Nothobranchius furzeri: one gene and its partners. The protein of the gene in region 1 purifies or fractionates together with the protein of each later gene. This does not show direct contact. Links are inferred from orthologs where the notes say so. Each region holds a gene or a part of one and is shown on either strand. Other genes may lie near its edges.

Region 1 (4,377 bases):
ATCTGTACAGTGATTCCCAACCTGAGGAGACTGGAGACCACTGTGCATACAGTAATGATGTAACCGGGACAAACAAACCTTTTCATTATAAATTTCCAAATATGACATTCCTACGCTGTAGTCCCATCCTTCATCCTGATCCGTGGCTCGGACCAGATTAAAGACCTCCTCAACAGCTAGAGGGATCACGCCAGGCTGCTCTGGACTTCCCAACATGGTGTGAGTCTTACCTGTGAATGAAGCCATGCAGGTTAATGTTAGGAAGAAAAACACACTTATTCCAGTGACAATGGCACCAGAACACACCAGCTCCTGTTGGCCCATAAGCAAACACGCTGGCGTTTTGTCCTTTCAGTATATTTGGTAGAATCGACTTCACTGATGAGAGGAAAACCTCTTCCTGTGTTGTGTCCTCTCCGTGGAAAACATCGAAGCTGGAACAAAAACCAAACCATGTTTAGAGTCAAATGTCGTGAGGAGAGGAGGACACTTGGGAGAGTGATACTGACTGGTATTTCACAGTTTCTGTTGCATTCCTCCAGTTGACTATCTCCAGGTTCTGGGAGTCCAGGCCTCTGACACACGGACCCTCGTGTTTATCATCTTGTTTGCTCATGTAAGGCCGCAGACGAACCGCTACCCGAACCCGGGAGGTCTTCTTGTTTCCACCATCTGCTACCAACACACGCTGCGCCATCTTCACACAAACAAAGGCCTGGATAACGAAAAAGCCAGAGTGATGTTCATCCACTTTATCAAACTCTATGCCACGCGAATATTTAGTATAATACACACCAGTAAATGCATGAACAGAGCATAAATGGAGTATTTGAAGGTAAGCTCTAGGTTTTCATCATTGCGTCACGAGAAGCAAACACACGAAAGGAGGTAATGTTGTTTCCAAACTAATGTTTCCTCGAAATCTGCCACTCCGCTTTTTTAAGTTTATTGGGGAAAGCTTACCGTTAAAAACGTCTTCCAAAAAACGCGTTTTTATCGTCCAAACATTCCCAGCTTCTCCTTTTAACAATGGCGATGGGCCAAAACTTCTAACTGAAAAAATTTTAAACGAAAAGACTGAGACCGGAAATGGGTTTTAACCAATCAGAGCTCGCGTGAACGCTGGCGCCTTTCAGCGATCTCATTAAGCGCTAAATAATTCATAAAACATAATTGTAGTTTTGTTGTATTTAATAGTATATTTTAAAAACTAGTATATTGAGTAAAAGTTAAATTAAAGAGGTTTTACTTTTCCCCTCCAAACAATACGAGTCGTTTAGCCACGGCACAGCTAACAGGAAGTTACGTTTAGCGTAGATTTCCACTTCATCTCCTTTCACATTTTAGACAGTAGAAGCCCTGGAATGACTTAGCCATACGCATTTAAATCAGCGGGATTTGGAGCCCGGTTAAACGCGACAACATCGTCAAGCAACCTATTCAGCCAAAATGGCGCTATGTTTATGTCCATGTTGAATCTTTTAATGCACTTAGCTAGCCTCATGGAGAGCTATGATGATCCCATCACTTGGGAATTACTTTAAAATCAAATTTTAACGTGACCAACGCTGACTCACGACAAATCGGTAATAACAATGAAGGATTTCCTTTATTTCTGCGGTGCGGTTTGACGTTAGCTAGCCCAGTAGGAATAAAACAAATAAACCTAAATATTCTCAAATTGCTTATTACGCTTTAGTAACAGGCGTAACTTGACTCGTTACCCGTGTAAATAATAACTGCCATTATCTCCCATTGCTAATTATTATCAAACATGCTGCTGTTTCGCAGATCCTATTAAAGTTGTCCAGCAGCAGGTAGGATGCAGACTGAAGTCACCAACTCTTCTCTTAGAGAGGGTGTTGAGGCTCTAGGTGTGAATGATCCAGAGAAATCTGCTGCAGACCAGGAGGAAGGCGGCCTAGAGAAGCAACAGGACTCAGAGATGACAGCTGTCACAGAGGAGAAAGACACCACTGCAAAGGATGACACAGGTAACTCCCTTAAAGGATAAATAACTTTGTAAACTCTTGGAGTCAGAAATCCGTCTGATTAGCACCAGATGTGGCCAAAAGCAATCACTCAAAGGCTGTATCAGTAAATAACAAGCCACATAAAGAATAGGGCTGCTCAATTGTGAATAATAATCAGAAATATTGTGTTTTTGGTCAATATTTAATTCCCAAGTATTTAACTAGATTACTTCTTCAGTTAGGACACACTTGTATTTATCATTTGCAGTTATAAAAAAAATACACCAAAAAAAGTCAAATGATGCCACAAACACACTTGACACACCAGACCTTGTAAAATGATCTGTGTTCACTTTACTCAAATTCTCCTTACTTCTATGTTTTGAACGAACGAACTTTTGAAATAAATACTCAAAACCATAACTCGTAATAGCAGAGCAATCATGTGATGCTTAAAATAGCTAGAGTTCACATTTTAAGACAAGTGCAGATACAGGATTACACCAGCAGGTGAAGGAGTGACCAATAAAACTTATGAGGGTTTAAGTATCTGAATTTACCACAGTAGAATTAATCTAGGACACCATGAATAGGAAAATAATTAAACTCGTGTTTTGTAACATTTAGTTGTTAAAACACAGACACCAGCTAAATAAACTAATTTCTTCTGAGTCAGTCTCATGAATAAAACATGTCCAGATATCCAAGCAGGAAGTAAGTGGGCATCAAAGTGTCTTTTTTAAATACCAACATATTACACAGGCTTTGGAAGATGCAGAAGTGTACTTCATTAGTAAAGAAGAACAAAATGAGAGTGCTTGCAACATAAAATAAGACAAACATAAATAACTTCTTATTACATTGTGTCAAAAAATACATTTGTGTACTTTTCTGTCTTCTCAGATGAGAACACAGAGGTGGTGGAAGGAGGGACACAAGAGAATGAACCTCAGGGGGAAGCAGGAGGGGATGCTGAAGAGGGGAAGCTGGCTGCCGGAGCAGACGACGAGTGGGAGCTTCCCTACAGCGACGAGGAAATGGAGGACCCCAAAAACTGGATGCCTGCTCCTCCTGAGATCAAAAGACTTTATGATATCCTCGCTAAAGGGGAGATGCTGGAATTGAACTTTGTGCCCCTTCCTAGAAGGCCTCCCACACCTGAACGCACCCCTTCACCCGAGAGAGACGAAGAGGAGGAGGCAGCAAAGGAAAGGGAGAGGCTGGAAAGGGAATGCAAGTCAGTAGCTCTCCTTTCTTTTTCTTATCTTCTGTTATTTGGATAAATTTGATTTACCACTCCCCCCCCACCCCCCCACCCCCAGGCCTCCGTCTCCAACAGAGTTTGACTTTGATGAGGAGCAACTTCATTCAACTCCTAAAAACTCCTTCATAAACAGACGCAGAACACCAGGTTTGATGATTTATTTTTTTATATCCTGATTTCCTGGGTTCAGCGAGGAAAGCCAAACTGTTTCCTCCCTGCATTCCAGGCTCGTCAGCTCGCTCCTCTGTGAAGAGAGAAGCTCGTCTGGACAAAGTGCTGTCGGACATGAAGCGCCACCGCAAAATTGAGGAGCAAATCAGGCGCACGGGCAGAGATCTATTCAAGACCGAGAAGAAGGTGGAGGAGGCCCTTTCCCCAAACAGCCAGAAGGAGCGGGAGAAGGAGAGGGAGCGAGACAGCAACCCAGACACCATCTTCTCCCCGAGACAGAGGAGATACTGAAGTATTCAGTCCCAGAAGCAATCAAGAGCTTCTCAGGGCTCTCGCAAGACTTTCATTTTCTAATGTTCACGTTTTGTATGTTTTTTGTATGATGGCAATAAAGCTTTTAACTTTTAACACTGTTAACTGGGTCATGATAACTAATTAAAAAGAAGTTGGGTTTAAAATCTAGAACCTCAGTTTTCATGTTAAGGTGTACATATAAGAAGGCAAATCATAATCTGAATCTAAATAACAGAAAAGGACTAAGTTCTTCCTTAGTGATCAACTAACCCTAACCCCAACTTGAATGCAGCTGTGCTCAGTTTTCTTTAAGCTCCTGGGACCCAAACATGTATTTGGTGTGATTTAAAAAAAAAGCATGTAGCTATTACAGATTAGTCAACTGTAATTAACAGAAACAAAATTACGAAAATTAAAACTAAATAAAAATTTTGTCAAATATCCTAAAAAAAAGGAAAGACAATTTTTTAAGTCAATATCAAGTGTCTGTAAATAATAACAAAAAGGTCTAAGTAGAAGTAGCAGAATAAAAAGGTAAGGTGCAAGGAGCCAATTTCCATAAATGTGGGCCCTAGAAAGGTGCAATAAGTAAGAATTTAACAGAGAAATATTAAAAATAAACTCTAATAGAGAGCCTAAAGAAAATGAATGAGGTAATAAAAACCTCCTTATTAT
Region 2 (3,650 bases), on another chromosome or scaffold:
GAGGCATTATGGGAGACATTCCTGGTCCACCCAAAGGCATGGCAGGCCCAGGATGCCAGCCTGGAGGGGCATTGGGCATACGTGGAGGCGCGTTAGGCTGGCCAGGGTGAAGCGGAATCTGCATCATGGCATTCGTGGGCGGCTGTACCATCGGTGGTCCACTGGGCATCATGCCAGGAGTAGCCGTTACTGGGTGCATCCCCGGCATTAACGGTGTCATATTGTTCTGCTGCTGCTTTACTCTGTATTCCTCAATAAGCTCAGCATGCTCCTTCTGCTGCTTGCGGATCTAAAATGAGAAAAAAAGAAAAACGATTTCTACAAAGAGTGAATTTCAATGGATTTCTATCAGACACTGAGGAAGCTAGCTATAGCTGAGACTTAATGCTTAGGGTGAATTTCAACGACACCGCTTGCATCCATAATTTTCATATGCAGAGATATGGGAAAAAAAAAGATGCTAAAATAAAACGTCTCCAAAATAAAGACATTTTTTTTTAAATCAGAGAAGAGTGAACTGAGTTTTTGTTATTTTAAAATCCTCGTCTTGGCTTCTTTAACAATTAAATTTTTACTCATAGGAAATGAAAAAACAAGAGAGTATTTAGAGTTTAGGGCAGCCAGTGTGCACATGCCTGACAGGCTATGCACTCACCTGCTCCAGTTGTTTCTGCACTACACCCTGCTGCTCTGTGACATGTTTGAGCTGCTCAGCATCCTCCTCAGGGAACTCTCTGCCTGCCTTCTTAGCCGTTCTCTGCTTGGCAGACAGGGCTTTCTTAGACTTCCTGTGAGCGCCGATCTGCTCCTCCAGAAACTTCTGCTGCATTTGAAGTAGCTGCTGAGTCTTCTGGAGCCACTCCTCATACTGAGCCCTCTGAGGATTATCTAAGAGAAGAGAAGGGATGTTTTCTTAGCAACCTTGAGAGCATAAAAACCAACATATTTAGAGTTGCAGCCATAACTAATCTTGCAAGAGAATCTTTGAAGAACTTACTGACAAATCCTGGTCCAAAGCTGGGAGGGTTTGGCCTTGGTACTTGTGTTAATTTTCCATCCTGGTAATAAGAAATTGGTAAGGTGTTTTTCACATTTGTAACTGAAATATTTGACACATTTCTTTAGAAAAATTGATTACCGATCCAACAACTTGTGGAGGGAGCGGTGTGCTTTCAGGACAGGGTGGTGGTCCGGAACCAGGTGGAAACCTGTCAAAACATTTAGGAGACATTAATATTATAAAACGTCTAAATGCAAATAAACAACCCAACGCACTCTACAAACATTACATTTTTCTTTAGACTTAAAGTAATTATCTCAGTTGTAAACGTTCATACCTGTTCACCATCGAAGTCATTCCCATGTTGTTCTGAACCATGACTTTATTGATGCCTTTCAAGGCGACCATTTTAGCTTTCATGATGGGGTCAGTGATGGCATCAAAATCTGCAAAGACAAACAGTAAGATAACCAATCTGTATTCTGTCTTAAAAGGGTGACATGCATGACGACGGCCTGAAAGCCTCACCGATGTTGGAGAAAAAAGCATCGCTGGAACGCTGTCGTATCATAGCTTGCATCTGCCGCTGCTGCTGTTGCTCCCGTCTCTCCTGGTCTAGGAGGTCCTGAATTAGGAGTGGCTGCTCCTCCAGCAAAAGAGGACGCGGTTGGTTAAGCTGACCCGCGGCCTGGTTCAACCCTGCCAGCTGGGCTTGGCTCAGACCACTCTGGTCCACTCCTGGGGTCAGCCCCACTTGGTCGGCTCCAAAGGCAGTCATAGAAACATCACCCGAGTTGGTGTTTTCGCCTAGTGTTTGGCTCGCTGTAAGCACTGAGGTATGTGGTGTATCAGTAACTTGGTTCTGCTGGGCCATGAGGTTTCCTCCTTGACTGACAGGTCCGATGATTGGATTTAATGATGACTCCTCGGGCTGCTGCTTAATGAGTAAACTGGACAGGACTGGGGTGGAGTCAGAGAGCGCCCCCTGCTGGTTTGAGGCATTGTCAGAAGCTTGCTCCTCAACCTCTTCAGGTGGCCTCTGACAGTCTTTGACCTCTTTTTTAATTTCCTGGTTCAGTGGTAAAGAATCCGAGTTTTGAATCCCAGGGTCGTCCGGCTTGAGTTCAGCTGAATTTTGCTCACCTGAAGTTTCCGAGTTTGCAGACAAAGATGCAGAACTTGATGAATACTCACTTACCGTGTTTGGATGTCTGTTGAGGTCTGCAGCTTCAGCGTGATCATCCATTGGATCGCTAAGATCCAGCTCCTCATTAAACATGTCTTTTTTGATGTCATCTGAGTCGGGGTCTGTGTAAGCAATGATGTCAAATTTACCAGATTTCAGAAAGTCATCAAGGTGCAGGTCGTTGGTCTCTAGATCCAAGTCTTTGCCATCCTCAGGATCCAAATTTAGGTTTTCCAAGTCAGCATCTACAAGGTCTTTCACTTCCACATCTTCAAGGTCTTTGACAGCCGAGTCTTCTCCATCTAGCTTTTCTTCAATAGCTTCACTGGTTGCCACTGAGATGGCCTCGGTCTGCACAACAGAGGGAGCAGGGAGGATCATGGATGCTGCCATGTTCTGGATCTCATTTGAAGCAGGTTGGCTCATAGATCTCATCAATGGAGATTGTTTTATAGGGCTGATTCCTGGCATCTGGCTTTGTTGATGAAGATTGTCCATGCTAGCAGAGAGGTGTAAGTGGCCGGCCTGGCTACCATTAGGGTCGACCATTTTAAGCCCCTGATTTAACGAGAACCTGGGATCAGGTGGTCCAGAAAAGTCTGGAGGCCGTTGGCCCAGCAGGTTAGGGTCGATATTGTTTCCTTGCATGCTGCCGAGTGGAAACGGCATGCGCGGCCTGTTTTCTGGCGCTCGGTGTCGCAGCTCGATAAAATGCTGGCCCATTATGTTGTGTTGCTGCACCGGCATGCTGCGTGGTGGGAAGTTGTGGTGCAGCCCCATGGGGTTTCCTCCCATGCCTTTTGTCATTTCAGCAGTCAGGGGCAATCTCATCTGAGGAGGGACATTCTGCATCGTGTGCTCCCCTCTGTGAAAGAACTCTTGAGGCCCGTGAGGTCCTGGAACACCGGCCGTAAATGCAAACCTGAAACAAGATTGGGAATGACTTTAAACAGAGGAAACAGTAAAGATCTGTTCTATGAAATACAGTAAAGCAAAAGTGTCACAAACCGTGGTCCCTGATGCCTCAAATTAGGATCTCCAGGGTGTGGGGGCTGGTGGATTTGCCCCTCGTTAGAAAAACAGACACGCTGATCCACTGGAAAAGATCCAGGAAATCTCATCGGGCCTCTCATGGGGACTGGTCCGGGATAAGGTGGAGGAGGTCTGTTGAACATTTCGCCCTGTTGGCTGGGGCCGTCTTGGGGCCAGGGTCGTGGCGTTCCTGGGGCTGTGTTACCAGCAGGATCCTGAGGGCCCCTCTCCTGTCGGCTGGCAGTCCTCTGTAAATGTTGTTTGAGGATTAGCTCTTTAATTCTTTGCCGCTAGAACAGAAAGGAAGAGGGATTTTATACACACGTTTAATAGGCTATATAGTTTAACAAAAGCATAAATTATATTTAATGCTTAAATGTTTAAGTTCAAGTTTTTTCCACATATTTCTAAATAAAAACATTAAATTCATAA
Region 3 (3,650 bases), on another chromosome or scaffold:
AGTTTGGACCAGGAGGAAAACAAGGAGCTGGTGGGGACAATCAGGCCAAACCTAAAAAGAAGAAGCCAGCAAGAAAGAAGAAACCCAAGGAGAGTGATGGACAACAGCAAATAGAGGGACCTGGGTAATGTTTTGGATATGTTATGATTTTAATATTTTTGATTTTTAACACAGTGGTTAAAGCATTTTTTGATCAATTTTTCCTAATATGTGGTATTGTTCCTTAGTGGTCTTGAAGGGGCTGCTGGCATGGAGGATTCTGAAGGGCCAAACCTGGGTGGGGAGCAGACTTTGGGTTCGGAAAACTCAGGCCAGAAACTCACTGATTTTACCAACAGGCCAACAGGTAGATAACACAATATTTTTCCATCATCTGTATAAACCAAAGCTGATGGTCATGGTTATTATTATTGTTAACTTAATATTACTATTATTGTGCTTTAATAGGCTTTCCTGGTCAGGCAGGGGAGCAAAGAGTGCTGCAGCAAGTACCCATGCAATTCATTCACCAACAACAGCAGCAGCAGCAACAACAACAACAGATGCAGCACATGCAACAACAGCATATACAACAACAGCAAATGCAGCATCAACAGCAACAACAAATCCACCACATGCAACAGCAGCATATACAACAACAACAACAGCAGCAGCAACAACAACAATTACAACAACACCAAATACAGCAACAGCAACATATGATGCAGGTACTCCACAATGCTCAAGGGCAGCAATCCATGACAGGGCCACCAACTTCAGGTCAAGGTCAGCCACAGATGCATCCTCATCAGTTGCAACAACCACAGCAGCAACAACCACAGCAGTCCCACCTGCAACAACAGGTACTTTGTGTGTATGTGTGTGTGTGTGTGTGTGTGTGTGTGTGTGTGTGTGTGTGTGTGTGTGTGTGTGTGTGTGTGTGTGTGTGTGTGTTTTGGTGGCATGGCATCAACAACTTTTAAATCCATTCTTGATATTTTTTCCATCATGTGCTAGCAGCAGCAACAGCAGCAGCAAATGATGATGATGCTAAAAATTCAACAAGAGCAGTCAAAGAATCGCATGCCCATCCCTCCCGGAGGGCAGCTTCCTCCTCGTGGCATGGTCAATCCATCTGATATGCAAAGACATCCTGTTTCACAGCAAAGCAACATGCCTGTAATGATCAGCCTTCAGGGTCATGGAAGTGTACCCCCATCACCTGACAAAGCAAGGGGGATTCCCCTGATGGTTAACCCACAGGTAGAGATAAATTACAAAAAATAAAATTACGTGATAGAAATTATTTTCTAAATGCACTAATATTTATTATCTTTTGAAAGTCAATACTTATTGTGCGCATGTATATTTTCTCCTCCTTTTCAGCTTGCAGGTGCTGCACGAAGAATGTCCCATCCTGATGTAGGGCAGAGCACCCAAGGCACTGGACCCGAGGAGGGCCCAGCAGGGGCCCACTCAACACAGGACAGGCCTGGTGGGTCCCAGGAAATTGGGACCCAGCCAGGAAATGGGATCCAACAGGCTGTGTCCAGCCAGAGTTCTAACACTCCTATGATGAAGCAAGGCTCTGGTCAAACACAAATGCCCCAGCATACTGGGGCTAGTCCCCAGCAGCAATTACCCACTCAGCCTCAACAAGGAGGTCACATGCCTGGCCTTCATTTCCCCAATGTCCCTTCAACCTCCCAGAGCTCAAGGCCTAAAACCCCTAACCGAGCCAGCCCCAGACCATATCACCATCCCCTCACTCCATCTAATCGTCCACCCAGCACTGAGCCCTCGGAAATTAACCTTTCACCTGAGAGGCTAAATGCTTCAATTGCTGGACTGTTTCCTCCCAAAATTAACATTCCTCTTCCTCCAAGACAGCCAAACCTTAATAAAGGATTTGACCAGCAAGGTCTGAACCCAACAACTCTGAAAGCCATTGGGCAAGCCCCTCCTGGGTTAACTCTAACAAGCAACAACAATGGGAATGCAGGGGGAAACAACACCAATAATCAGCAGGCTTCTGGAGCTGGTGTTGGAGTTTTAGGTGCTAAACAAGAGAAACAGTCTGGGGGGCAAAGTAAGAGGGCAAGTCCTAGCAATAGCCGTAGATCAAGTCCAGCTTCTAGTCGCAAGTCAGCCACTCCAAGTCCTGGAAGACAAAAGGGGGCCAAAATGACAATAAATTGCCCTCCACACCAACAGCAGTTGGTCAATCCTCAAGGGCAAACAATGATGCTAAGCCCATCCTCGGTACCTCCGAGTCCGGTATCTATGCCTTCACAAGTTAGTGGAGGAATGGAAATGCAACAGACTCAGAGCCCCCTCCATGGGATTCACAGTAATCCTGCTGATGGGGTCAGGGAGAATCAGGGAATGATTACCCCAGAGCAGCGTCTAACGCCCCAACCTCAGTCCCAGTTACAACAATTCAGGGATTTATCGACCTCCAGAATGACAAGTCATCGTCTGCAGACATCCCAGCAGCCTAAACCTGATGTAGAACTACAGGCGAGTGCAGTTGATCGGGGTCCAACTCACCAGACTTCTATACAAAATACTGAAGTCTCACCTGCTCTCAGAGAAGCTCCGACATCACTTAACCAGTTACTGGATAACACGAGTGTATTGAACATGGCACTTGGGCCTACGCTGAGTAATACTGTTGCCATAGGAAAAGACGCCTCTAAGTCTTCTCTGGATCAAGACAGACCAGTCTCCAGTACTTCACAGAGTCTGCCATCTGTTGTCACCACAGCTACTGTAAATGAAACTGAAGCTAAACTCAGACCTGCTGTACCCATTTCTACAAGCAGTTCTACTTTGTACCCTCTTCCAGTCCCCAGCTCACACCCTCTGACTAATGTCAACTTAAGTACTACTTGTGTCAATTTAAATCCAAACTTACATTCAACACCTTCTCCTTGCAGCTCAGTCAGCACCAACACTAATGCCACTCTAGGTTTTAACATCAATACAGTCTCATCTGGTCAGAACAGTTCAGTTTCTGCTATTAGTACCAGTTCTAGCTCCAACTCTTCTGTAAATCCAATCAGTTCAGCTCTTAAACCAAGCCCTAGTCCTAAACCGTTAACAAATGTTCATCCTATTATACAGATTCCTGCATCATCAAGCAACCTTTCTCCCAGCCAGTTCAGAGTGCTTGTCACCTCAAACCCCATTACATCCGCGACCACGTCACAGGTGCCCACCTCTATGATGGGCGTCCCTAACAAAAACATCAGACCTCAGGACACCCGACAGCAGAGTTCTGGCACGAGACCTGCTCAGTTTATTACAACCACCCCTGTACTGATCAATCCAATTTTTCAGGTCACAGGTTCTTCAGTCCCTCCCAATACAACTGTGGTATCCCAGTCTGTCACCATGATGGGTGCTATTCAGGCGCCAGCAGCAAACATCCAACTTTCTCCTGCTCCAACCTCCACACAGCCATCAGGGGCCATTATGACAAGTGCTCACTCCATGAAGAGTGCTGTTGGACAGGTTCACATAGCTTCTAGTTTGTCTTCTTCAGTCCCTGTTGGTACTCTCATTGCTTCTCAACAAATCAACCAAGGAAATATCAAAACAGAAAATGTAGGTGAGACAAGTTCTCAGAAATCTGCTCTCGCTGTTTGTCAGCCTCCTTCCCATCCAAA

What was found.
Region 2: the proteins of pagr1 (region 1) and kmt2cb purify together in Homo sapiens (affinity purification with mass spectrometry; 3 studies listed by BioGRID and IntAct, with this or other methods). This does not show direct contact. The link is inferred for Nothobranchius furzeri from reciprocal best matches to the Homo sapiens genes PAGR1 and KMT2C.
Region 3: the proteins of pagr1 (region 1) and ncoa6 purify together in Homo sapiens (affinity purification with mass spectrometry; 3 studies listed by BioGRID and IntAct, with this or other methods). This does not show direct contact. The link is inferred for Nothobranchius furzeri from reciprocal best matches to the Homo sapiens genes PAGR1 and NCOA6.

The regions. Positions count from the first base shown.
Region 1 is NC_091756.1:34,661,603-34,665,979, reverse strand, and holds pagr1 (PAXIP1-associated glutamate-rich protein 1), read left to right. Parts: upstream 1-1,438; 5' UTR 1,439-1,586; intron 1,587-1,791; 5' UTR 1,792-1,822; coding exon 1,823-1,994; intron 1,995-2,876; coding exon 2,877-3,210; intron 3,211-3,295; coding exon 3,296-3,384; intron 3,385-3,463; coding exon 3,464-3,699; 3' UTR 3,700-3,816; downstream 3,817-4,377. Other genes in the region: kinesin-like protein KIF22, read right to left, coding at 79-230, 307-434, 510-697. UniProt on the Homo sapiens protein: Its association with the histone methyltransferase MLL2/MLL3 complex is suggesting a role in epigenetic transcriptional activation. However, in association with PAXIP1/PTIP is proposed to function at least in part independently of the MLL2/MLL3 complex.
Region 2 is NC_091751.1:52,876,145-52,879,794, forward strand, and holds part of kmt2cb (histone-lysine N-methyltransferase 2C), read right to left. Parts: intron 3,509-3,650; coding exon 3,195-3,508; intron 3,109-3,194; coding exon 1,529-3,108; intron 1,447-1,528; coding exon 1,338-1,446; intron 1,209-1,337; coding exon 1,139-1,208; intron 1,059-1,138; coding exon 998-1,058; intron 889-997; coding exon 656-888; intron 290-655; coding exon 1-289. UniProt on the Homo sapiens protein: Histone methyltransferase that catalyzes methyl group transfer from S-adenosyl-L-methionine to the epsilon-amino group of 'Lys-4' of histone H3 (H3K4).
Region 3 is NC_091755.1:60,755,439-60,759,088, forward strand, and holds part of ncoa6 (nuclear receptor coactivator 6), read left to right. Parts: coding exon 1-124; intron 125-227; coding exon 228-346; intron 347-447; coding exon 448-842; intron 843-996; coding exon 997-1,242; intron 1,243-1,365; coding exon 1,366-3,650. UniProt on the Homo sapiens protein: Nuclear receptor coactivator that directly binds nuclear receptors and stimulates the transcriptional activities in a hormone-dependent fashion. Coactivates expression in an agonist- and AF2-dependent manner.